3 linked regions of the Drosophila melanogaster genome follow. The protein of the gene in region 2 interacts with the protein of the main gene of each other region in a pairwise test. Each region holds a gene or a part of one and is shown on either strand. Other genes may lie near its edges.

Region 1 (7,059 bases), on a different chromosome or scaffold from region 2:
AACTCGTGCCACCCCCCGCAAATTGCCGGCTTACGTAAGCCAATTGTATTCGTTTTAGCTGAGAGAACATCAATCAAAATACAAATAACAAAAAAACATGCGGCTATTGGCCAGACACGCGATTCGATTGCTGGGTCAGGAGAATAGCGCGGGCGAGGTGGCTTCACTTTCGAGAGGAGCAATCCGGCTGAAGGCCACAACCGGTTACCTCAATCTGGCCACGGCAAGTGTTCAGCCATTGGAGCCGGAGAAACAGGTGCTGAGAAAGGTGAGTACTCCATTTGGTGGGCACAAAGTTTCCGTATCGATTTCGCTAATCGAAAATTTAACCAGAATTCGCCACTCACGGACTCCTTTGGCCGGCATCACACCTATTTGAGAATTTCTCTAACCGAACGCTGCAATCTGCGATGTAAGTAAACCAACCACCTATGTTTTCGACCCTTATCAGTTTGCCCTGTTATTGTTTTACCTATTTGATAATACTCGCAGTGAAGTGGATCCCAGCCTTGATTGAATAATGTGGCGAAATTCGTGTCTTACACACGCACAACTGCGGTCAACATAATAGTTATGGAGTCCAACCATATCAGCCAATTGTTGACAAATTAGAGCAGATGGTCTAATTTCATTTGTAGCTGCTATTATAATCAGATAATTTTGGCGACATTAACAACGTTTCTGATTTCGATTACTGATAGATAGCAAACCCCCCATTGATATTAGATAATTTAATGTTCTTAACTTGAATTCGAGAAACTTCCATGATACTCTTCAGTTAACTTTTATTAAATTCCAATTGGAAAATTCTATTATAACTATAATGTGGTCATATTTTCAGGCGACTACTGCATGCCCGCTGAAGGCGTTCCGCTACAGCCGAAAAACAAACTCCTGACCACCGAGGAAATCCTTCGTCTAGCTCGAATTTTCGTGGAGCAGGGAGTGCGAAAGATCCGCTTGACCGGCGGAGAGCCAACTGTGCGCAGGGATATCGTAGAGATAGTGGCACAAATGAAAGCACTACCCGAACTGGAGCAAATCGGAATTACCACCAATGGCCTGGTGCTGACACGCCTGCTGTTGCCGCTCCAGAGAGCTGGACTAGATAACCTGAACATCAGTCTGGATACGCTGAAAAGGGATCGCTTTGAGAAGATCACCAGGCGAAAAGGATGGGAGCGGGTGATAGCCGGCATTGATTTAGCTGTCCAATTGGGCTATCGCCCCAAGGTGAACTGCGTCCTTATGCGGGATTTCAACGAGGATGAAATCTGTGATTTTGTTGAGTTCACCAGGAATCGTCCGGTAGATGTGCGGTTCATAGAGTACATGCCATTCTCCGGAAACAAGTGGCATACAGAGAGGCTCATTTCGTATAAAGATACCCTGCAAATCATTCGACAAAGGTGGCCAGACTTCAAGGCCCTTCCCAATGGACCTAATGACACTTCTAAAGCCTATGCAGTTCCGGGATTTAAGGGTCAGGTCGGTTTCATCACCTCCATGACGGAACACTTTTGTGGTACCTGCAATAGATTGCGACTCACTGCGGATGGAAACATAAAGGTGTGCTTGTTTGGCAACAAAGAGTTCTCGTTGAGAGATGCCATGCGAGATGAGAGTGTTAGCGAGGAACAGTTGGTGGATCTCATTGGAGCAGCCGTCCAGCGTAAGAAGAAACAGCATGCAGGTGAGTTTCGATTCCGAATGAAACGTAGAAAGTCTTCAGAACTTGGTACTCCTTCGCAGGCATGCTGAACCTGTCGCAGATGGAGAACCGGCCCATGATACTCATTGGCGGCTAGTAGACACACCACACTCTCTCCCCTCTCCCGTTGCAGATGCTGCGCCAAGACTCCATCATCATCTTCATCCTTATTCGTATCACCACGCATATCATACTTCAAGGCTGCAGCTTCAGGCCCGAAATTACAGCCAACTCACCCATGTCGATGGCCAGGGCAAGGCCCAAATGGTGGATGTGGGCGCAAAACCTTCGACCACAAGATTAGCTCGTGCAGAGGCCACCGTTCAGGTGGGTGAGAAACTTACCCAACTTATAGCCGACAATCAAGTGGCCAAGGGAGATGTTCTAACCGTAGCCCAAATTGCTGGCATAATGGGCGCTAAGCGAACCGCCGAACTGATACCCCTGTGTCACAACATCAGCTTGTCCTCCGTGAAAGTGCAGGCCACTCTTCTGAAAACCGAACAATCTGTGCGGCTGGAGGCAACCGTTCGCTGCTCGGGCCAAACTGGAGTCGAGATGGAGGCACTAACTGCAGTTTCAGTGGCCGCTTTAACTGTGTACGACATGTGCAAGGCTGTTTCTCACGATATCTGCATCACAAATGTCCGCCTGCTAAGCAAATCCGGCGGAAAAAGGGACTTCCAGAGGGAGGAGCCGCAAAATGGGATAGTTACAGAAGTCGAATAAGTCGAATACCCGACTAACCGGATTAACCACGATACGGGGAATGGAAAATAAACTACTGCTTACTTGATTTAGCCACAAATATTAAATTAAAAGACTTATGAAGCAAGAATACATAAGTGTAAAAATGTAGATGAAATCACTTCCTTATAGGAAACTAATTTGACTAACATACCAATAAAATGTTTCAGAACAAATGGCATAAAAGGGATAAATAATCATATAGTTTATATAGTTTTTGTTTCCAGTCGGTGGATAGAGGTCCATCCATTTTCAGATCTTGAATGAATCACAAGACACATGACTAATTTCAATCGGAAGTTTAAGGTATCTTTAATTCGTGGCCAGAGTGGGTTAAGTTTAAATGAGGGGAATTGATGGATAGTGTTGGTGTGAAGGTGCGATTGGAGGCGTTTCGCGAACTGCGCCTTACAGCTAGAAGTACATACAACATTAGAAGTGTTCAATAAACGCGGATTATCGCTCGCAAATCCTGGCAGAGTTCCCTCTCAACATAGACACAATAAATACGGTGTGGTGAGGTAATCAATCGCTCTCAGTTGAACACCAGGACATTACGGTTCTCCGCCTTGTCCTCCGCATCGTCGCCCTTGGCTCCTTCGGCAACCAAGTGTTCGCCGCGAATCTTGATATTGTGCTCCTCCTTGAACTTGTTCAGCTCACTGCCCTTTTTGCTCAGGTCATTGGTGACCATTTGGATGGTCTTGGCGATGAAATCCTTGTTCTCCACCAGCTGTGGCAGCACCTCCTTCACGGTCCTTTCGCACAGCACACCACCAATTTGACGAAAGCATTTCCGTTCGGGATCCGCCGCCTCCAGAGTTTCTATCACAGTTCTAGGGAGGATAAGGAGTTATGTCATTGTGTCTGCAGGGATTCTCCCACTTGCCCAAAATCACAAACAGACGTGTCATCCATCTTTGGGCCCCCGGTGACTCACTTGTGTTCCCTCAAATCCATTTCGAGCGTATTTAAACTGTTGACCAAATTGCGCTGCTCATTGCGCAGCTGTTGGAACTGGGCCACAATGGCCTCCTGGCTGAGTGCCGGCTTCGCCGATTCGGTGCTCATTGCAATGTTCGCTATCCAAAAGGACCCCTTCGAAATCTAGACCGGGATAATCGCTTCAAATTGGCGATAATCTGCGATTTTCTTTCAAAATACGAGACCGAACACGAGGACTATGCGATAAACGTCCTAACAAATCCCAAGCGCGTCAAGGCAGTAAGACCGTAAATGTATTGTGGAAAAATGGTGTAACGGTAAAAGAAAATATAGCACAACTTCAGTTACTTAAACATAAGTTAATGTAATAATTTATAAATTAATAGTAATTCTATATAAGAATTTCAATTTTATTCTTACTTATAATCAGATTATAATAACTTCAAGCTTTATATAACTTCAAACCCACCTGCTATCAAAAGTCACGGTCATTTCAATGGTAATTACTGAATAATTTATAAATTTTAAAACTAAGTTGGATACTCTCTTATTTAAGATTTTAAATACAAAATTTTAATATCATAAAGACAATGAAATTCGTCACTAAGTAGACGACATACATATGTTGCTTACGTTTCGCGGTGAATGTCATATTTGAATACACGTGCGAGTTGTTTCTAACGCCGTTTATTTTATTTAATGATTTTTATCTAATATATAGCTTTAGAAAATATAAAATCATGCCGGCAGCAGTGGCCACAGGTGTGCAATTCGGTGGACCGCCCAAAAACAAGAAAATCGTGTTCGACGACTCCGGCGAGGCGGTAGTTAAACAAAACAAAAAGGAGCACCCACAAAGGCCAAAATTTGAAGGGAAGGAACAGGTGAAAAAGCCGCAGAAAATTAAGTTTGGAGAGGATGGAAAAGCGAAAGGTGCTAAGTCCTTTAATAAGAACCACCAAAAGCCGGATTTTGCCAACAAACCACAGAGAATAAAGTTCGGCGATGATGGAGAACAAGTAGCTTCCAAGTCGTTCAACCAAAATCATAAAAATGGACCAAAACCACAGAAAATCAAATTTGGAGAGGATAGAGAAGCAGTGCATCAAAAACCTTTCAACAAAAACAACCATAAACATAATGGTCAAAAGTCGGACTTCGCCAATAAACCTCAGAAAATCAAGTTCACTGATGATGGAGAAGATGAAGTAACTGCGAATTCTTCCAACACAAAGACGGAACCGACCAAGAAGTCCCAAAAAATCAAGTTTGGAGATGACGGAGAGTCCAAGGAGAACTTTAAAAAGCCCCAACGAATCAAGTTTGATGAGGATGGAGCTGGAAAAAATGTATCCGACAGCGATGGAGACAGTGATGAGGAACTGGGGGACTCCATTTCCAAAAAGCACAACAAATATCAGTCAAAAATAGATGAAGACGAGGAGTCCCAAAAGAAGTGGTATCATGTGGTATGTTGAAACTAAACTGAAATCGTGGAAATAAATCATTTATAGTTATCACTATCGTATCTTAGCATCCCGACTATCCGTCCACCGATGAGGTGCTGGACATGAAGGAGAACGATCAGCTGGAGCTGTACAATCTCTGCAAGAATTCCTTCGAAGCGGAGAAGATAACTTTTAATAAACGTAAGACTTTCTCGACTCGGAAATTGGAACCCCTACTAATGTTTTTATCTCATCTTTAGGTAATCCCTCGGATGCTCGCTGGTTGCAAACCGCTCTGCACAAGGGTACTGCAAAGGATCGGGCCAATGCGGGCGCCCTTCTGGTGACGAGCAATCCACTGGGCAATTTGGAAGCATTGAGCACTTTAATTGGCTTCTGCAAGATCTCCAACAAGGCCAGCAATGATGTGATTGCAGTGCTCACGGATTTGTGGCAGGAGGTGCTGCTCCCGCCAAACAGAAAACTCCTGGCGGTGCACACACGTGGTGCTGATTGGAAAAAGCTGAAAAAGGATGAGAATTTGCGCAACGAACAGAAGCGCCGCATTTACGCGTACTGGCATTTTGAGAGCGAATTAAAGGATCAGTACCACGAGTTCTTGAAGAACGTTATGCAGGGCCTGCAGACTGGACAGGAACACAATAAGAACTCCTCTATTGTGTCAGCAGCCAGGCTGTTGGCCTATGCTCCCGAAAAGGAGCAGCTGCTGCTAACCATGCTGGTAAACAAACTGGGCGATCCCATCGCCAAGATTGCCTCCAAGGCGTTGCATCACCTCAGCGAGGTGGCCCAGAAACATCCGAACATGTGCGGTGTTATTGTTGCCGAAGCGGAGAAGCTACTTTTCCGTAACAATATTTCCGAGCGAGCGCAGCACTTTGCACTGTGCTTCCTCTCCAGCATCGCACCCTCTGGCCGGCCCGAAGTCTGCACCAAGTTGGTCAATATATGCTTTGCCCTCTTCAAGGTTCTCGTGCAGAAGGGAGCCGTAAATAATAGGACCATGCAGGCCATCCTTCGATGCTTGCAAAAAGCTATCGTGGAGGCTAAGCCGGCAAAGGATAGCAATGGGGAATTACTCACCAAGGAAATGCAGGACACCATCTACCGATTGGTCCACTTGGCTGACATTAGGGTCGCTGTACAGACTCTCGGCCTGCTGCTGCAATTGGTTGCAGTAAAAACTGAGAAATCGGATCGGTTTTATAATGCTTTATATGTAAAGCTGCTGGATCTGAACCTAATTAATGTGGGTAGCAAAACGGCGGCTCATCTACTGCATATTGTACATCGTGCCATCCACATCGACAACCATGTGGCCAGGGCCCAGGCATTCGTGAAGCGTCTGCTGCAGTTGACCCTATACGCTCCACCGCACATTGCAGCTGGTTGTTTAATCGTCATCCACAAGTTGCTGCGCATGCGCCGTGAGCTAATTGGCGGCACTGGAGCTTCTGAGGAAGTGGAGGAAGGTTCCAAAGTTGTTCTACCAATCAGTGCGGATCTGGACAAGTTCGGTAGCGACGATGAGGAGGTCTACGAGGATGTTAAAGATGAGGCGGATGATACTAAGGACTCCAATCCATTGGAGGAGAAGGCAGACAATGATGTTAAGTCAAGTGCATCATCCTGGCATCATGCCCGTGTGGCTGCCACAGAGGCCAAGGTGCGGGATATTGATTCCTGCAAGTACGATCCGTACCATCGAGTGCCCGCTTTTGCAGGAGCTGCATATGCACTCCGCCATGAACTGTTGTTGCTGCGGCAACACTACCATCCCACCGTTCAGGTCTTCGCCGAACAGATTCTTCAGCGTGAGTATTCCATTAGGTTTCTATTCATAGCCTTTTATAAACCCTTTCGATTTTTTTAGAATCACGCATTGATTACTATGGTGATCCGCTCAGAGATTTCGGATTGCCCCACTTTTTGGAACGTTTCGCCTTTAAGAATCCGAAAAAGCTGGAAGCTTCACAAGCAGCGGAAAATGCTACCGTGGCACACAAGCGATACATGGCTCACGGAGCGCGAGGAAGACCAGTGAAATCGCTGACCAAGGCCAACTGTACCGAGGACGAGATGTTCATCTTCAACTTCTTGGAGCATAAACGTAGACAGGCGGAAATTGTGGCGCAGAACAAAAAGCAAAAGGAGATCAAGAAGGACGCCGCAGAAGAGGGAGATGAT
Region 2 (7,417 bases):
CGCCCACACACACACACACACACACACAATCAGACACGCGAATCTATATAAATAAAGAAATACAAATTACAAACAAGATACTCAAACAACTTCTAGCAGCTATAAACAAATGCAATAAATTCTTTTTAACAACAAACGCAAACTGTTTTTTTCATATGGGCTGATGGCTATTTTTTTGTAAACCCATCATAAAATATATATTATTTTCAATAATCATAAATAAATTTATTAAAAACATTAACTGTTTCCATGCTTAACAATTAACCCTTACTTTAGCAACATCTCCATGCTTTGCTTTCATTTACTTCTTGGAAAAAAAGTTCATAATGCCAGCTTGTTTGGTTTTCGGCGCATCCTTTCCAGCTTTCGCGGCTGAAGGCGGTGACTTCTTTTTGTTGACGGGAGCAGCAGCCTTTGGGGAAACCTTTTTGTTGGCAGGCTGGGCTTTTGTTGGTTTACGCTGCGTAATGACGAAGCCATCTTCATCCAGATAGGTTTCATTGGCCGGTTCCGTATCCATTTTCTCATCCAATGCGATGGTCTCTTCATCGGCGGACTTCTTGGGCGGCTGCTCCTCGTCCTCAGAGTCGCTGATTCGTCGCCGCTTGGAGGACGAGGCCTTTTCCTGATCGGAGTCGTTGTCCGACTCGATCACCTTCCGCCGCAGCATGTCCAGCTTTTCCTCCTCGTCGGACGATTCGGCACTCTCCTCGTCGAACAGTTGCATGGAAGTGTTTGCCGTTGTTGGCTTTTTGGTGGGACTGGGGGATTTCTTTTTCGAGGCTTCCTTTTTGTTTGAATTGGAAGCATCTTTCTTCGATTTATCTTCGGATTCCGGTGGCGACTTCTTGGCGCCTGCCGGTTGCTTCTTAAAGAAGTTGTCCACGGTGCCGGACGTCGATTTGCTGGGCGTGGCTTTGACATCCTTTGGCTTGCTGGCCGCCGCTGTGAAGAAGCTATTAATGCTACCCTTTTTGGCTGCTGCAGGCTTGGCTTTAGAGGCCTGTTCCTTGGGCGAGGTCTTCTTATCCTCCGGAGAGGACTTGCTGGCCACTGGCTTTTCCGCCTTCGACTTTGCTGGCTCTGATTTAAGTGAAGATTTTGAAGGCTCCAACTTAACCGCAGACTTTGATGGCTCCGATTTAGTGGGTTCAGATTTGACTCCATTGTGGGGAGTCGTCCCATTTGCACTGGGCACTATCTTTCCCGCTCCAGGACGCTGCTCCACTTTTGCCAACTTCACCTCCAAATGCTGCATGGGCTTGAAAATCGCAGCCGGCGCTTTGGTGCCACCGGCTATTTTCACACTATACAGCTGAGACTCCGCATCCTGGACTTTGGCCAGCCAATCCTGCATCCTGCTCTCCAGCACCACAGAGTACAGATCTTCGCCGGAATCGGATCCTTGCGTTTTACGCTTGCCATGGACTAGAAATCTCTTCTCGAATTTTGTGGCAGGTTCCTGCTCTTTGATGTAGGCCTCCAGCACATCGTTCACCTCCTTGTAGGACAGTTTGTACTCCTCCAGAAGATCGGTGACCAGCACACAGCGATCGAAATCGATCATGCAATCGTCGAGAGCCTTTTTAAGCGACATTTCGACAATTTGTTTAGTTAAAATTGCGCGAAATCGTATTGCGGGCGTGCCAACTTATGTGACTAAAAAAAGTGCTAAAACTCACCAGCAAAATAATGAATACTGAATTCGAAAATTTGTGACTTTGCTATGCATATTGTCAATGTAGAAAAAGGCGTATTTATTAAAGTTAATTAATTAATTATTATATATATTTAGTTGCTTTTTTTTGCTTGAATTATGAGCTTATTAATAGACTTTACATTTAGCTTAAATATAGCTAAATTGAAACAACTGCTATCTATCGATAACATCTACTTGCCGCTATTGCAAAGATAAGAAGAAGAAACGAGAAGTAAACAAACCAGATATCCTAATAAATTTTGATTTCTTTTTAATGCCCAAACAATGCAAGTAAATCCAAAACACAACACAGAAGCTCACAGACAAGCCGAGTAAGTGATAAAAATACAAGTGAATGCAGCAAGTGTAAGACCCAATTACAGGCAGGATGCCAACAAGGCGCGAATCACCCAAATTGAGGAGTTCATCAACGAGGTGCTGAAAGAGGATCTCAGAGAGCTGGAAAAGTGCATCGGGCAGTACAACGAGGAGATCATGGAGTACGTCCAGCTGAAGAACACCCTCCAGACCTTCGACACCCACCTACCAGATGGCTACAAAACGCAAGTCAACATCGGCAGCAACGTATTCATGCAGGCTCGCGTTCGGAAAATGGATAGCATTCTGGTCGATGTGGGCAAGAATGTGTTCCTCGATATGAGCATTCCAGATGCGGAACGCTTCTGCGACACACGCGTAAAGATCTTGACCAAGCAATCCGATGTCCTGCGCGACGAAAGCGTCAAGAAAAGGGCTCAAATCAAAATGGCCCTCATAGCAATCAGCGAAAGAACCAAACTTATTCAACAGGATGAAAGCAAATAGCTTCGCTGCGTCCACAGAAGCTGAAAGCATCTGTATCCTTGTTCGTATCAGTAGTGATCACATTATTACCAAGATTACACAAGCACTTAGTTTTTATTTTATACCACAATTTACAAAGACAATTTACAAGTTACGCGCCTCCAAAGTGTTGATGGCATAGAGATTTTGGGTGAGAACGATTTTTAAATGGAAGGAGGAGTTGCATGCAAATCCTGGCGACTCCTACGACTGATCCTGTGACGATCGAGTACGCCGCAATATGGATTGGGCCACCGGTTGCCCAATTCCAGCCGGACTTCCTGAGATCAAGGAGTTGCAGTACTGATCGTTCATAGTCTGATTCTGGTTAAAAATCCGCTGCGAGGTGCTGGTCAAGTTCTGCAATCGCCTGGCCATCTGCGGAAGTCACCAATAGACACCAGTTAGACAATAAAGTTAGAAAGTATTATTTTAATTCCAGCTGCCCGTTTAAGAAGTCCAATGGTTATCCAATTCGTCAAAATTTGGAACAGGCTTGTTGAAAATTAAGGAAAAATTCAAGTTTTACATGGTTTGGTGGCATTTTGGCATATAAAGATTTGTGAAAAATTTGTATATTTCCAACTCACATCGTTCCCCGCCTCGGGATTGGTCAGACCGCCACTCTTCGGAGGTGGACAACTTATCGCCGAACTGGACGCGCAGTTGACCGCCTGCTTCACTCGTTTTATCTCCGTCTCCAAGAGCTTGTAGTCTCGGAATAGATTGCGATAGTCCTCGGCCAACGTCCGGTTTTCGTCCAGCAGCATGTGGATGTGTTCCTCGGCCCGCTTGGCGCAAAGACGCATCGCCTCATCGGCCCTAACCTGGGCGTCCTTCCATTTTCGAAAGGAGTCGATAATCTGTTCCTGCTGCTGGTTAACTTCGGTCTGTTGACTGGCGGGAAGAGAGAACATGGCAGCTGCTCTTATATGGATGCACTCTATCCTGGAAAATTACCTACTTTAGGCGGATCTGCATTTGCTGGCAATTTTCCGAAATGGTGCGCAACTCCTCCCGCAGAGATTCAGTTGTCTCGTTCATCCGCTGGATACTTTCGCGATGCCGGATGTCATCCAGCTGCAGATGGCTCTGCATTTTCCGAACAAGAGTGCGCATCTTTTCCATCTCCAACTGGGCACTCTTTTGTTGATCTTGAAGTGCCCGCTCTCGGCCCGAGGACACAGCCTCCTTCTCCTTCAAAGCGACCACCTCCTCTCGCAAGATTTTGCGCTGAAATTCATAATACCTCAGTTTTCTTTGTGCCCAAGGACGACAATAGTCGGATACGCCACCTCTGTTCTCAGCTCATCCTGCAGCTGCTCCACCTGATCCAGTCGCGTTTGCAGGCTCTGCGCTTTCCTCTTGGCGTCCTTGAGCTCCTGGCACTGATCCTCGAAGCTGGCCATCAGGCTTTCGTACTTCGTGCAGAGTTCCACGCTTTGATTTTCTTGGTTTTTCAGCAGGGAAGGGAGGTCTCGCAGTTGGCGGGATAGATCACCTGATAGTATACATATATATATATATATATATAGAAAGAGCTTTTAATTGAAAATTATAAGTTTTCTCTCACAATTCTTCTGTTTGAGGACATGCATCTCTTCTTTGAGCCGATTGTTCTCGCTGAAATCGGAGTAGCTATTGATCATGGACTGCAGCTGGCTAATCTGGTTATCTCGATCCTTTAGATTTTCCTGCAGTCCCTTGATTTGGCAGGAAAGTTGTCCGTTCTGGTGGGGAAAAAAGTGGGCGAGAAATCAGAGAAACGATTAGGAGCAATTTGGTAAATGTGTGCTTTAGTGGATCCAACTTGTATCTCCAGTTCACAGTTGATCCGTGACTGATCGACGAAATGGAGCTCGGGCTCTGGGCAGGATTGGCTGGCTAGTGAGCTCTGCTGCAGCTGCTGCTGCTGCTGCTCCACCTGTTCGGTCAGCTCCTCGAGATCCCTTTTGAACTCATCGATGATGCTGAGGTAATTATCCCGGGTGGCCTGCAGTAGATCCGACTCGGTCTGGCAGTGGAGCAGCGTGTGCTCCAACTGCTGGCGGTGGGGGCAATCGGTGGAGCTGTTGCCTGTGTTCTACAAATTCAAATTGAGTTGTGGCTCACTTGGTTGGTACCGCTATTCTCGAGGCTTACCATGGCCACTCGGAAATCGGTAACTAATTGCCTGCAAATCCGCGCACGAAATCACCTGTCAGTTGTCAATTGTCGATTGCAGATACGCGGATGTACATATCTATGTGTTTAAATCGTTTTCGGTGTCGAATGCCTAGAAATGGAGCCTTCGTGCCGCCGAGCTTGCAAATATATCTCGCAAATATGACCCCCAGACGAATTTTGGCTTCATTACCGTTTCATTTCATTTCAATAATATTGCTATTAAAAGTTTGTCACGAAAATAAAACCAATTCGAAACGTAGGAGGTGGCAAGGTTTCGGGTTTCCGGTTTCAAAGTTTCGCTTCTTTGGCACTTTGGCAACACACAAGTTTGTTGGGTGCTTGAAGGGGTGGGGGGTGAAGGATGGTTGAGTGGGGGGGGGGGGGGTGACTTCCCCTAGTTTTATAGATATTATTATTTGCGCGGCCCGACTGTTTGACACGATTTGAAAATAAAGTTAGTTGCAGCGGGTGGCAGCGAATAGTATTATATCGTCTGTCTATTTCTTGGATACGATAGATATATGGATATTTATGAATGATGAGTGGAGGGGAGTTGGGCGAGCGTGGCTCGGCGCACTTAAAACACTTTTAAAGGCATATTATATTGCAGTGGGTGGGGCGGGGGGTTAGTACTACGAAATTGATAGCTCAGGCTCGGGGAAATGTGAAAATCGATTGGGACGGGGGCAATGAATTCTTATGATTCCTTGTCTGTCATTAAACCCATTAGCGGAGCCCAACAATTCGCTTTTCCATCGGCTCCATTTGCACATTTACGGTTCGCAGCACCAACTTTCTTCACTGCACTTCGCGTCCCTCTTTGCGAAAGCACTCGAAAACAATTTGCACTTTTGGCCAACTTTCTCCTTTCTAATTGCCCGATTTTCCTTTCGTTTTTCGCGCCGAAAAGATAATCAAATCGACGGAGCGCGACTTAGGCGACTAATTACGCCTCGTAAATTGGCTGGCGAGGATTTGGCGCGTTATTCCTGGCGCTTCCTTGATTCGCTTCACGCGACTAAACGGCCAAATCCGCCGACGGATGACAGGATTCTGAAGCGAACTGCTCCCCTGCTGGGGCTTCCTGCCGAGTTGTGTTTGATTTTGCGCCCGACAGTTTCGCCAAAGAGATGATGGCGTGAGGGGTGACGACTTTGTTTATTGTTCACACCTCGGGAATTAGTCATATCTAAATAAACATTTATTTAGGTAATTACTAAATATTTGTATTTGCACTGAGCTCAATTTAAGTTGGTTCGGTATTATGAATTACTTAGTGCATACGATCGAGATCGATGTAAATGGTCGTGGTCCTTGCAGTCACGCGGATCACGAGCAGTCCTAGTCAGTGAAGTCCCAATCCCGGCGGCACTCATCAATATGCATATCACTGCTCGCCGGAATCGCGTGTCGATTGTGGGTAAATAAATAACACGAAACCTATTTCCGATTCGCCAGCTCCACTGGCTGGAGGGCAGAAGGTGCTCCCCCCTCAGGGGCAATTGCAGTTGAACATACAGCCGAGTTTCCACAATAAACACATTGGCGAACGATTTGTATTTGTCGTATGTAGACATTTGCCCGGCGGGATGAGTGAAGTGGATCTCTTTCTTTTGTGTCTGGGCCCAATATATATATATTCATATATATATATATATGGGTAAATAAATCGGGGACTCGAATGGCAACAGTAGTTCTTTTGTCAATCCAGCCAGGATTTACCGAGTATATACTGTACCGAGTATATATGTGAAGGCGAATGTCGTTTACCACATAAGAAGAAAGTTCTATGTGCTGAAACGTAAATCGGAAATGTATTTCAAGCTCATAATTTGGTTGGGATATGAAAGAAACTTTATTTAAAACTAGTTCATTTCATTAAAACTATTCATTTCAGCAATCTGTGATTCTAGTTTCTGTTTAACCATATATAGATAGATATAGATTTGAGTGGAGTTGAGTTTTCGTGGCGAACAATCGCGATGATAAATAACTTAAGAACGACAAACTTTAAGCTAAACTATACAAACTTCTTAACGTGGCTTAGATTAGACTAACTGTTTAGGAGGCCCAACAAGTGACATAGTTACTTGGAGGTCCTAAACGTTGTAGTTGTGTTTTTCGTTGGTATAGTTTTAGTTGTCGTTGGCTTGTTTGAAGGTTTAGGTGTTGGTTGTTGTTTGTTTGTTTTTGCCGTGGCTCCCGGGATTTTGGTGGTTTTGGTTGGCTTCCTTGTTTGGGAAGGTGTTTTCGTATCGCATTCCTGCATTTGATATGACAACCGGGGTTATTGGAATCGGCTATTGGTTATTTGCGATGCAATCAAAGCCGTCAGATACTCACAATTTCCACTTGATTTTGCTCCTGCTCGAATTTCCGTGCAAACATATCCGCAATGGTCGTACAAAATGGATTTTCTTTCGAGGATTCGTCGTAGATTTCGTTGTAGGAGAACTCCTTGGAACCCTGAAATGATGCACATATTTTTAATATGCATTTCCTGCAATCCTGCAGAATAGAGAAGAGTCTTAACTCACCAACGAGCAGATGAGTTCGGCGATCTCCCTTAGAACATCGCTATTTCTTTGAAGAACGCTGCTTTCCGATTCAATCCTCGCCTCCAGCTCTGAAATTTTGACTTTTTGCAAATAGGGAAATAGTTATAGCAAAAGTATCGAGAATCGGATATACCCACTTTTCGACTCGGTG
Region 3 (8,888 bases), on a different chromosome or scaffold from region 2:
ATGCCCAGCTAATTGGCCAAGCGAGTCCGAAAATCGCTAGTAGCAGACAGAATGTCGCTACCCAAGTGGGCCAAAGTGTTTTGCACAAGGCCACTAAAAAGTGGGCGCACTATGTGGGTGGTGTTGTTTGTCTTCTTTGTCGGTTGAATGTTGTAACCCAATGACCCAATGTGGGCCACCCACGCACTCGGAATCTCTTACGAAATAAAGAAGACACAAGGCATTTGAAGTGGGCGGGTTTTTTTTCCCCCATTTCACGATCCATTTGCAATGCGTTCCACTATCTCAGCAGCGTTGATAACGATCTGCAAAGCAAACAGACCGCAAACGATAAGATATATTCGGCTAAACCGGACCAAACCCACTTGTGGGTTCCTCTTGTTCTATTTCTATTTGCGCGCTGGGAAACTGTGGCCATGTCAACGACAAGAGTCAAGTCAATCAAGTGGAACTGCAATCGAATTGGGAGTGCGATTGGAAATCGAATCCCAGACAAAAAGAGGTTGCCACAAAAAGGGATGACAAAGAAAGCCCCACAAATCAATGCAAACGAGGGCCCAAGTGGTCAACAGTCACCACGCATATGGAAAATGGAAATCGTGGGCCAGTCTGCAAGTCGGCTGCCTTTCTCCAAGCTTTCCTCCTGCACTTTGCATAAATCTATAATGAGATTTGGAATGCAACTGTCACACATAATGGCATTGCCACGACGACAACGACGACGACGACGAACAATCTGACCAATCAATGCAGCTTAGCCAGAGGCCACTGTGCTGATATAAGCACGTTTGAAGTGGACAGAGTTGTCTACTACAAATATTTAATATTCCCTCTTTAGTTAGTTCGATTATTGCACACTAAACTCAAATAAACAATATACAAATATACAAATGCTATTCTTGCCAATGCTTTTCACATATATTGTAAATAAACAATATTTAGATTATGGCCCCCCATTCGCAAAGCGGAAGTCCGATGCCCAAATATTTATTGGCCACGATCGGTGTTTACAAACAAAACACGCGCCAGATGAAACAATGGCCATATATTAACCCCCACCGCTGTCGATCGAATCAGTCGGATCAGTTGGCTCCATAGAATGCCATACTTATGGGCAGTCTAGTTGGCTTTTCGGCTTTTAATGGGAAATAACGAAGCAATTGTTGGAGGCGATTATCGAAATTATACCGAATAGAGGAGCTCACTGGCCGCGCACAGTGAAGTCCAGAATGTGAGTAGTTGATACCGAATGCCTTCCAATTGATGGACCTCCGATATTAGCCAGCTAACATGTCCAGCTGCAGACAGTTCAATCCGTTCTACATTGGACCCTATCCGGAGCGTGCGTGCGGCGATTGTCCGTATGGCGAGTACTCGGGCTTCACCAGATGCGGATGGAGTGGCGGTAACGGGCCCTTTGGCACCACCTTCTGTGACTCCCGCTATGGCGGAGGAGGAGGAGGCGGCCAAGGCGGTGGAGGAGGGAGAGGTGGATGTGGAGGCAGAGGCAGAGGTGGTTGTGCGCCATCTTGTGGTCCTCGTGGCGGATCGTGGTCCTGTGGTCCCCGCCCGTATTCCCCGTGCTATCAATTTCCGTACGGAGCGGACAGCTGCATGATGTGCTCCAGTGGATTTGGCTGCTGTGGCCAATCCTGTCGCGCATCCTGCTACTCCTGCTGCTGAGCATGTACGTCTCGTGGACTCTGGACTTCACTGTTTGCGGTTAATTGGTTTCTTGAGTTATTTCTTTCTTTTTCTTTTTTTTGAGCAAAATTGATTGTAAAGCAAGAACAATTATGGTTAGCCCTTTGGGTTTATTATTATGGGCTTGGTCTTAAAATAACCAGATGCTTTACGCTCCAATCGCTAGCGAAAATCCCCTGTAATGGAATGCCCACACATGACTGCCTCTTGGTTATGGAGAACAAAGTTGTCGCCCGCGATAAATGTATGTACATCCCATACATCAAACGAGGCCACTGCGGGTGTGGAAATCCGGGCCAGAATCCGGTGTGGAGAGGAGTAGGGAGGAGAGGAGTGGAAAGGAGGTCGGCGCCGCTAAATGCGATTACAGCATAAACGATTAATTTTATTGCAGTTAGCCGAGCCGGGACGCTTGTTCCATAAACTAATTAAAGCCCAGTGGAAAGTGGACAGTGGATACATTCGCCGCTGACTTCAAAGAAAGGGTTAATTGTGCGCCTTGTGCGGAATTGGTCCCCCTTTTTCATTCCGCTCTCTTGGTTTTCCATTCTTCCTTTGTCTTTTCCGCAGACAACTGGGCAGTTTTCTTCGTTTTCTTTGTTTTCTAGGCCGAAATTACTCCGTGGCTAGATTTGGTGGGCACCACGTTCTCGTTCTGCTCCTCGACGCTACTATGGCCATTGTTGTGGCGGCTGTCATGTTGTGGGTGGCCGCACTCAGCTCTGTTTGTTTGTTTGTTTTTTTCTTTTTTTTTCCATGCTGCTCTGCGTGTTTGTCGCTTTGCTCTTTTTTCCCCTCTGCCTTCTTTTTCGTGTCACGCCTCATTTAGCTTTTCACAACATTTCCAAATTTCCACCCACCCGGTCGACACGTCGCATCGCAGCGCACGTAGTGTCGGAAATATCTGGGGATGTGGAGCAGTGGTGCCTAGTCCTCTGCACTCTCGGCTCTTAGCAGCACACATCAAAATTAACCGAAATAACCAGTGGGATGCGTGTATGCAGCTCTGTATCTGTGAACTAGATCGAGTCGCTTCGTCTTCAGATTGGAATGCCCCTCGTAATGAGCCACAATATGTTCGAGTTAATTGCATCGGATCGAAGTTGCCGCGGGGGAAATATCAACAGGCAGGCAATAGAGTCACGGTAGGCTAGGCAATTTTCCATATATAACGAATATTTGATCGTAATGGATATAAATGGATATAATAATGAGTTAAAGAAAGGCACCCCTGTGCGCAAGCTTTTGAGAATAGCTACCACTTAACAATTTCTTAGCTTACAATACAAGCCAGTAGTTAACTCAACTTGAATGCCATATTTTTCTGGAGTGATTCTATTTATGTAGGGGTATATGTAGCAACCACTTGCACTACACTTCAACACCTGATTTATGCATTTAATCGTAAAATTTAAAGATCGTCATAATGCCAATGAGTCGTAAAAACCAGCCAATTAAAGCCACTTAAATTTGGCAAATGGCAAGCGCACTTTTCCAAATGCATGGCTTTGATTTAATACCTGTGATAAAAGCAATGCGCTTAATGTTGGATCGTGGGATTATCTAGTGATTGTTCCGATTGCAGATAGTATTCGTGTATAGATGAGGGGCTCGAAAGTGAAACTCGCTGATATCGCAAGAGCATTCGATCCATTTTACTTGCCGACTTGTAGGTGGTTCGGAATGCCGCTTGGCATTCGGGTTTGAGCTTCGTTTTGAACTTCGGCTTGGCGCACCTGCCACGAGTGTTCCCCCTCTCATTCTCGCTCCCACTCCCGCACTCGCTCGCAGCCCCCTCCCTGGTGGACTCTCTCCTTCGCACCTTCGCGCGCTTGTTGGTGGGCCGGGCGAGCAGCCGCCGTTTTTCAAATGCTAAAATTGGCGATTAGTCAAAATGATGTCACCGAGTTATTTTGATTGTTTTTTTTCTTTCATTATTTCTATGTATTTATTTCGCTTGACTTTGGCATTTTGGCGACACGCTGACCATAAATTCCGTATTATTGTTTTTCCTGCTATTCGATATCACCGATTGCCAAAGGTGGGCTAAGATACAAAATGCTCTAATCTAAACACCAAGTTGCAGTGTGTGTGTGTGTGACTTTTCATTCGCACGACGCTTAATTATTCGCTGAGCTAATCATTTCACCGACTGCCATATGGCGGTATGTGATCTAATCTCAATGAGCAAAAGGTCTAGTTATTAAGGCATGCGGCTCAGTTTGATATGGAATTTTTCAACTATGCGAACTTGGATGTCAACCAGACGCAATAGTTAAGGAAATTCATTAAAACTTCAAACATTTCAGTTCCTTAAACTTATCTTGTATGAAGTATTATAGAGGAGATATCAATATACCCGTTAAGCTTTTTAATATAATTTACACAATTTCATAATTTCGTGAACGAGCGAACATGGGGCGTGGCGTGAACCACTAGACTTTCCAACGGAATGCAAATAGTTTAACTATGGTTTCCCACATAGCAAAAACAACCAAATCCGAACTTTCCTCCTAGCTGCCCGCAAACATATTTAGTTGTAAACTAAATTCCAGGCGCAACCACAAACAGGCTTGGTTCAAAGTGTGGAGGGGAGGGGGGAGTGTTTTGGGAGTGGGCGCAGGGGGGCAGACACTTTTTATGAATGAACACTGTGCGCTGCGTCGCCAACGCGTCACTCATCCGAGTTTTCCTATCGCGGAAATCTACTACGCATTTCAGTGGGTAAGTGAGGGGGGTGGAAGGGCAATCTTAGCAACATTTTATTGGTATTGTTTATGCCCGGGAATTTGGTAATATAATCCGCACATTATTTGTTGTTTACCTTTTGTAATTAGCAACCTTTTTTAATACGTCACTTTTTGTTGGGCTGCGCGGAGTTGCTGCTTCTTCTTGCTGCTCTTTCTCCTCCTTCTCCTGTTTCTCTGCACTTATCGCGTTTTATTTTCACCTGCTGTTTACACACAATAAACGATGAACGGTAAACGGAGTTGCCAAACTCGCGTTAGCGAACGAGAGAGCAAGATGCAGCGCCGAGATAGAGAGCGAAGATGCTGCGCCCTTTTGGCCTTTGGTAAAAAATATGGTAACAGAAAAACTTCTTTTTTTCGGGCTACGCTTATGGGCTCAAAACACATACACACCGACGGCAAAAACGCACACACACAAGCGAGCTCGCAGGAATTTTGAGCCTGGCTTTAAACCGCAATGCTATGCAAAACTTTTTTCTGGCTTGCCAACGGTAAATACGCAGCGCGATTTGCGATTAGCTCCGTGCGAATATCTTATCAACGGATTTTGTTTACCCAAAAACCACTTCCAACATTGCGCCGCGACACTGCTTCGACACCCACAAGCCAGCAACAACAAAATCGTTGGACAGTGTTACCAGACGACGAAGGGCTCCCAATTGAATTCGTACTAAAAAATGACACAGGTCCAACGAGCTTCTAATTTGAAATTACAGTCTTGGCACACAGATCAGAAATTGATACAGGCAATAAGCTGATTGGATCTATAATGTTAATTTCGTCAAAAATATCAAAATAGTTCATATTACGTGATATATATAGAAAATTTTAGGTGGCAGTAAAAACTGCTTTACCAAGGTGGCAACGGTAACTGGTGTGATTTTTTGCTTAATATGAAGGGCATGTTAGGTTTGTAACTTCGCTAAGTAAAACAGGATGTAAAAATAGCCTAAATTTACAAATTCTATAAGTTTGATTATACTAAATTAAATTTATTTTAAAGACGAGAGCTGTGCAGCAAACTACATCTAGATGACAGGAAAATCCATTTAAAGCATAACATATAATTTCACAGCTCTACTTGTGCTTTTAACTGCATGTAATACAGGCGTAAGTTCTACTCTGCCTTTTTATGTGCTATGGATTCCGAATCCGCCTTAGTCTGGCGTTCCTTGCGAGCTCGCTCCTTGAGCTGCGCTGTTTTTAGAGTCACCATCAGCTGCGTGGAGTTGTAGAGCCAAGTGCCCTGCAAATAAGCAAAGATAAATACACACTTCATGCAGTGGAAACACTATAACTTACAATCAAAAGCATGCAATTAAGCAAAATAGGTATTGAGAAAACTGTCGAGATAAACAGGCCGTTGCTATCGAAGTATTGTTGTCTGGAAAAGGAACTCCAGTTGTTAGCAGCGAACTCATTGATGCTTTCGGTGAAGTAGACTGCCAGCACTGAGGAAGATGAAGCACATGCAAAAATCAGAGTCATTTATCGGGTAAGTCAAGGAAGCCGCCAAGTCCACGTACACAGTACTAGGAAGAGGAAAACCTGGAAGTTGGAGCTGTTCCGGCTGAGCAGCGCAGTGGTGGTGGTTAAGATATGCGCCAAAATAAGGCCAATAAGCCAGGGATCCTTCCAATCGATCTGCAAAAATAGTGACAACTTGCCGGATTCTTGATTTTTGATTGTATATAGGCGAGTATCTTACGCTCAGCAGAAATGTCCAATAGCCATTGATCTCGTTGACCTCAATTTGCCCTGGGTGCATCGTACAGATTTTTGTGAATATAAATGTTTCCTGTATATATTTTGCGATATATTCGAAAGCCGAGTCAAAACAAACATAAATAGCCATTCGCAGCGAACAGCTGTCATTTTTCATGGCAACGCCATTTTGGGAGGCCTATAGACGTTCAGGCTTCCTCAATTTTGACTGGATCTGGTAGCGCTGTTTGTAAGACCTAACTTACTATTTTATGGGCTAAATATAACAACATAAATCAAAATACTATTATTTCGTTTAGTATGTATTACTCACCATATAAATGCAATTACAAATTTTGTGCCACCTCATTCTCACCCACCCCGACTTGTCGTGCAGAGTCGCCCTGCCCGTCATTCAGTCTGAACGTGTCGATAACGCTTTCACTGACTCAGTAGACAACATTAACAAATCCGAAAAATATCACAAAGAATTCGTTTTAAAACAGTCAAAATTGTAGTTTTTAGGGCGAATCAAATCTATTCGGGTTATTAAGTCGAACGGGCGACGTGTGAGCAAGCAATCGAAGCTAAAGCCGAGCAGGGTAATCCGAAAAAAGGGGCGCCTTAGATGTGGCACGGGCCACCGACCCTACCGTGCACCACACTCGTCTAGGACTCTGTTCTAAAGCGCTTGTGGCGGGAGTTTCTGGCCAGGATCGGGCAGGGATCGAGGCGCACTCGAGACCCGTTGAAAGGTCGCAGTCAAATCGTAACGACGACACGTAACGGAGCGCGGTTCAAGGACACGCGGCTCAGACTCCTCGCTCAGAGTCGCAGGCAACGAAAAAGCCGCTGTGTTCGGGCGCTAGGCAAGCCCACGCCTCCGCCCATCGGCAACTGGAAGTTCCAGTCGGCCCTGTGGTCCGCAAGCCTTTGTGCCACTCACGTCCACGCCCACGCCAAGCGATTGAAACGCGAAATGGCCGTTAAGCAGAATAACAGCGAGGCGGGTGATAATGCCTCGGATAATGCCGGAGGAGCTGGCAACGGCATTCCGCCCAACGCCAAACCCATGTCCGCGAACGGAATGGCGAATGCCGAAGAGAACGTATTGCCAAAGGGCATGGACACGGGTTCGCCCGCTGGCGAGAGCCTGAACTCCAACCGATCGGGCAAGCGGGATATTAAGGCCCTGCTGGCATACCTCCAAAGCATCGATATGCCGGAGCAAGGCCACAATGTGATGGCCATCTGCGAGAGGGTTATCGTGGACTTGGCCCGTCTGCAAATTCCACGAGGCGCATCCTGTCCACGCCTAAAGGAAGACGTCTGCCAGGTCGGTGCCTTTCTGGCTACGCGCAACGAGAAGTTCCACCAAATGTTCTACCTGCGTGTCGTCTACGAGCTGATCACCAAGTCGCCATTCGAGCCACCACCCTCGTGTGCCGTGGCCATTGTGTTCCAGCTGTTCGACTCCACGCAGATCCTGGAGGCTGTACACTCGCTGCTGGAACAGAATGTGCAGGACTCGAGCATTAAGAAGACGGTGAACCTGCTCTGTGATTGGATCACGTACTGCACCTTTTGCAGCACTCTCAATCTTTGGGTGCTGGCGCTGCTCAAGGGGCTAAGGGATCAGGGCAAAATGGCGCTGCTCGACGAGATTGCAATGGACAACATCGAGAAGCTGTTCCACGTGATGATCTTTCCGGCGCTGAGGCAAAAGGCCGCACCGGTTGTGTTTCACATGCTGTCAACGATTAATCAGACCCCCGAGGTTTTTCACAAGGTAAACACTTCACTCAAACATTAGCTTCAACATAATTATTGACATTTGGTTGGTTACCCTATTAGATCTTGCCAAGGATCCCACGAGTCCTGCAGTATGTGAAGAATCAGTCGACCACCATGGACGAGATTGGCCTGGAAACCAAGAAATGTCTGCAGCAACTGGTCGACCTAACCAGCGCCCTAATGCTACGTTTCTATGATCAGGATGAGCTCTATGTCGCAACCAAGAAAGCCCTGCAGACCTATGAGCCCTCTCCGAATTGCGTGGCTCTGGCAAAGGCAATGCATGAGAATGCCCAGCCGTGGGGTCGGCGGAATGCGAGGGTTGGACTCGTTAACCTGGGGAATACCTGCTACATGAATAGCGTACTTCAGGCGCTAGCCATGACCAGCGAGTAAGTAAAGATCAAATGAAGAAACCCCACTTCTAATTTCCCCAAAGTAGAAGCGCAAAATAATATCTTTGCCTCATATTTATGATTAAAACTCGGTTCTATATTTGCATTGCCTTGCCAGCACCTTTTGTTTAAGAGCTCACTGTTTATAAATCTGTTTTAGGTGTCAATTTCCGATTACGAAAATAATTACGATTACGAAGCTTATTGGCTTTATTTATCTTCTTACAACTACATATACTCATTTTCCATTTGCAGTTTTAGCAGGCAAATCCTGCTTATCGAGTGCAATTCAGTGCTGCTCATGAAAGTGCAGCAGCAGATTGCCCTGATGCATCACTCGCTGCGCTACGAACTAACGCCTTCGCGAGTGCTGAACGCCACCCGGCCGCCTAGCTTCACGCCCGGCCTACAACAGGACAGCTCCGAGTTCCTAGGATATCTGCTCGACCTGCTGCACGAGCACGAGATCAACAGCTCCTCAGTCACTGGTCACAGTGTTGGTCCTCCGAAGACCGGCAGGGAAGTGGACGACGTGCCCGCA

Evidence for each region.
Region 1: the proteins of Uxt (region 2) and Pfdn2 interact in a two-hybrid assay, tested with the Drosophila melanogaster proteins (one large-scale study listed by BioGRID).
Region 3: the proteins of Uxt (region 2) and Dyb interact in a two-hybrid assay, tested with the Drosophila melanogaster proteins (one large-scale study listed by BioGRID).

What each region holds. Positions count from the first base shown.
Region 1 is NT_037436.4:11,070,718-11,077,776, forward strand, and holds Pfdn2 (prefoldin 2), read right to left. Parts: upstream 3,672-7,059; 5' UTR 3,530-3,671; coding exon 3,399-3,529; intron 3,295-3,398; coding exon 2,994-3,294; 3' UTR 2,575-2,993; downstream 1-2,574. Other genes in the region: Mocs1 (molybdenum cofactor synthesis 1), read left to right, coding at 98-268, 334-412, 842-1,693, 1,845-2,440; Noc1 (nucleolar complex protein 1), read left to right, coding at 4,144-4,872, 4,938-5,052, 5,112-6,686, 6,746-7,059. UniProt on the Drosophila melanogaster protein: Binds specifically to cytosolic chaperonin (c-CPN) and transfers target proteins to it. Binds to nascent polypeptide chain and promotes folding in an environment in which there are many competing pathways for nonnative proteins.
Region 2 is NT_033779.5:15,254,667-15,262,083, forward strand, and holds Uxt (Uxt prefoldin-like subunit), read left to right. Parts: upstream 1-1,914; 5' UTR 1,915-1,984; coding exon 1,985-2,031; intron 2,032-2,082; coding exon 2,083-2,524; 3' UTR 2,525-2,746; coding exon of another isoform or gene 2,747-2,920; 3' UTR 2,921-2,976; downstream 2,977-7,417. Other genes in the region: PolD3 (DNA polymerase delta subunit 3), read right to left, coding at 302-1,597; yuri gagarin, read right to left, coding at 2,747-2,920, 3,133-3,439, 3,507-3,775, 3,838-4,043, 4,116-4,272, 7,052-7,174, 7,246-7,346, 7,404-7,417.
Region 3 is NT_033778.4:12,433,531-12,442,418, reverse strand, and holds the start of Dyb (dystrobrevin), read right to left. Parts: upstream 5,075-8,888; 5' UTR 5,030-5,074; coding exon of another isoform or gene 5,010-5,029; 5' UTR 4,529-5,009; intron 1,787-4,528; exon of another isoform or gene 1,684-1,786; coding exon of another isoform or gene 1,291-1,683; exon of another isoform or gene 1,282-1,290; intron 1,232-1,281; coding exon of another isoform or gene 1,230-1,231; exon of another isoform or gene 1,099-1,229; intron 1-1,098. Other genes in the region: CG30334 (uncharacterized protein), read left to right, coding at 1,291-1,683; Tmem18 (transmembrane protein 18), read right to left, coding at 5,572-5,700, 5,757-5,905, 5,981-6,098, 6,163-6,222; DUBAI (deubiquitinating apoptotic inhibitor), read left to right, coding at 7,138-7,947, 8,013-8,344, 8,603-8,888.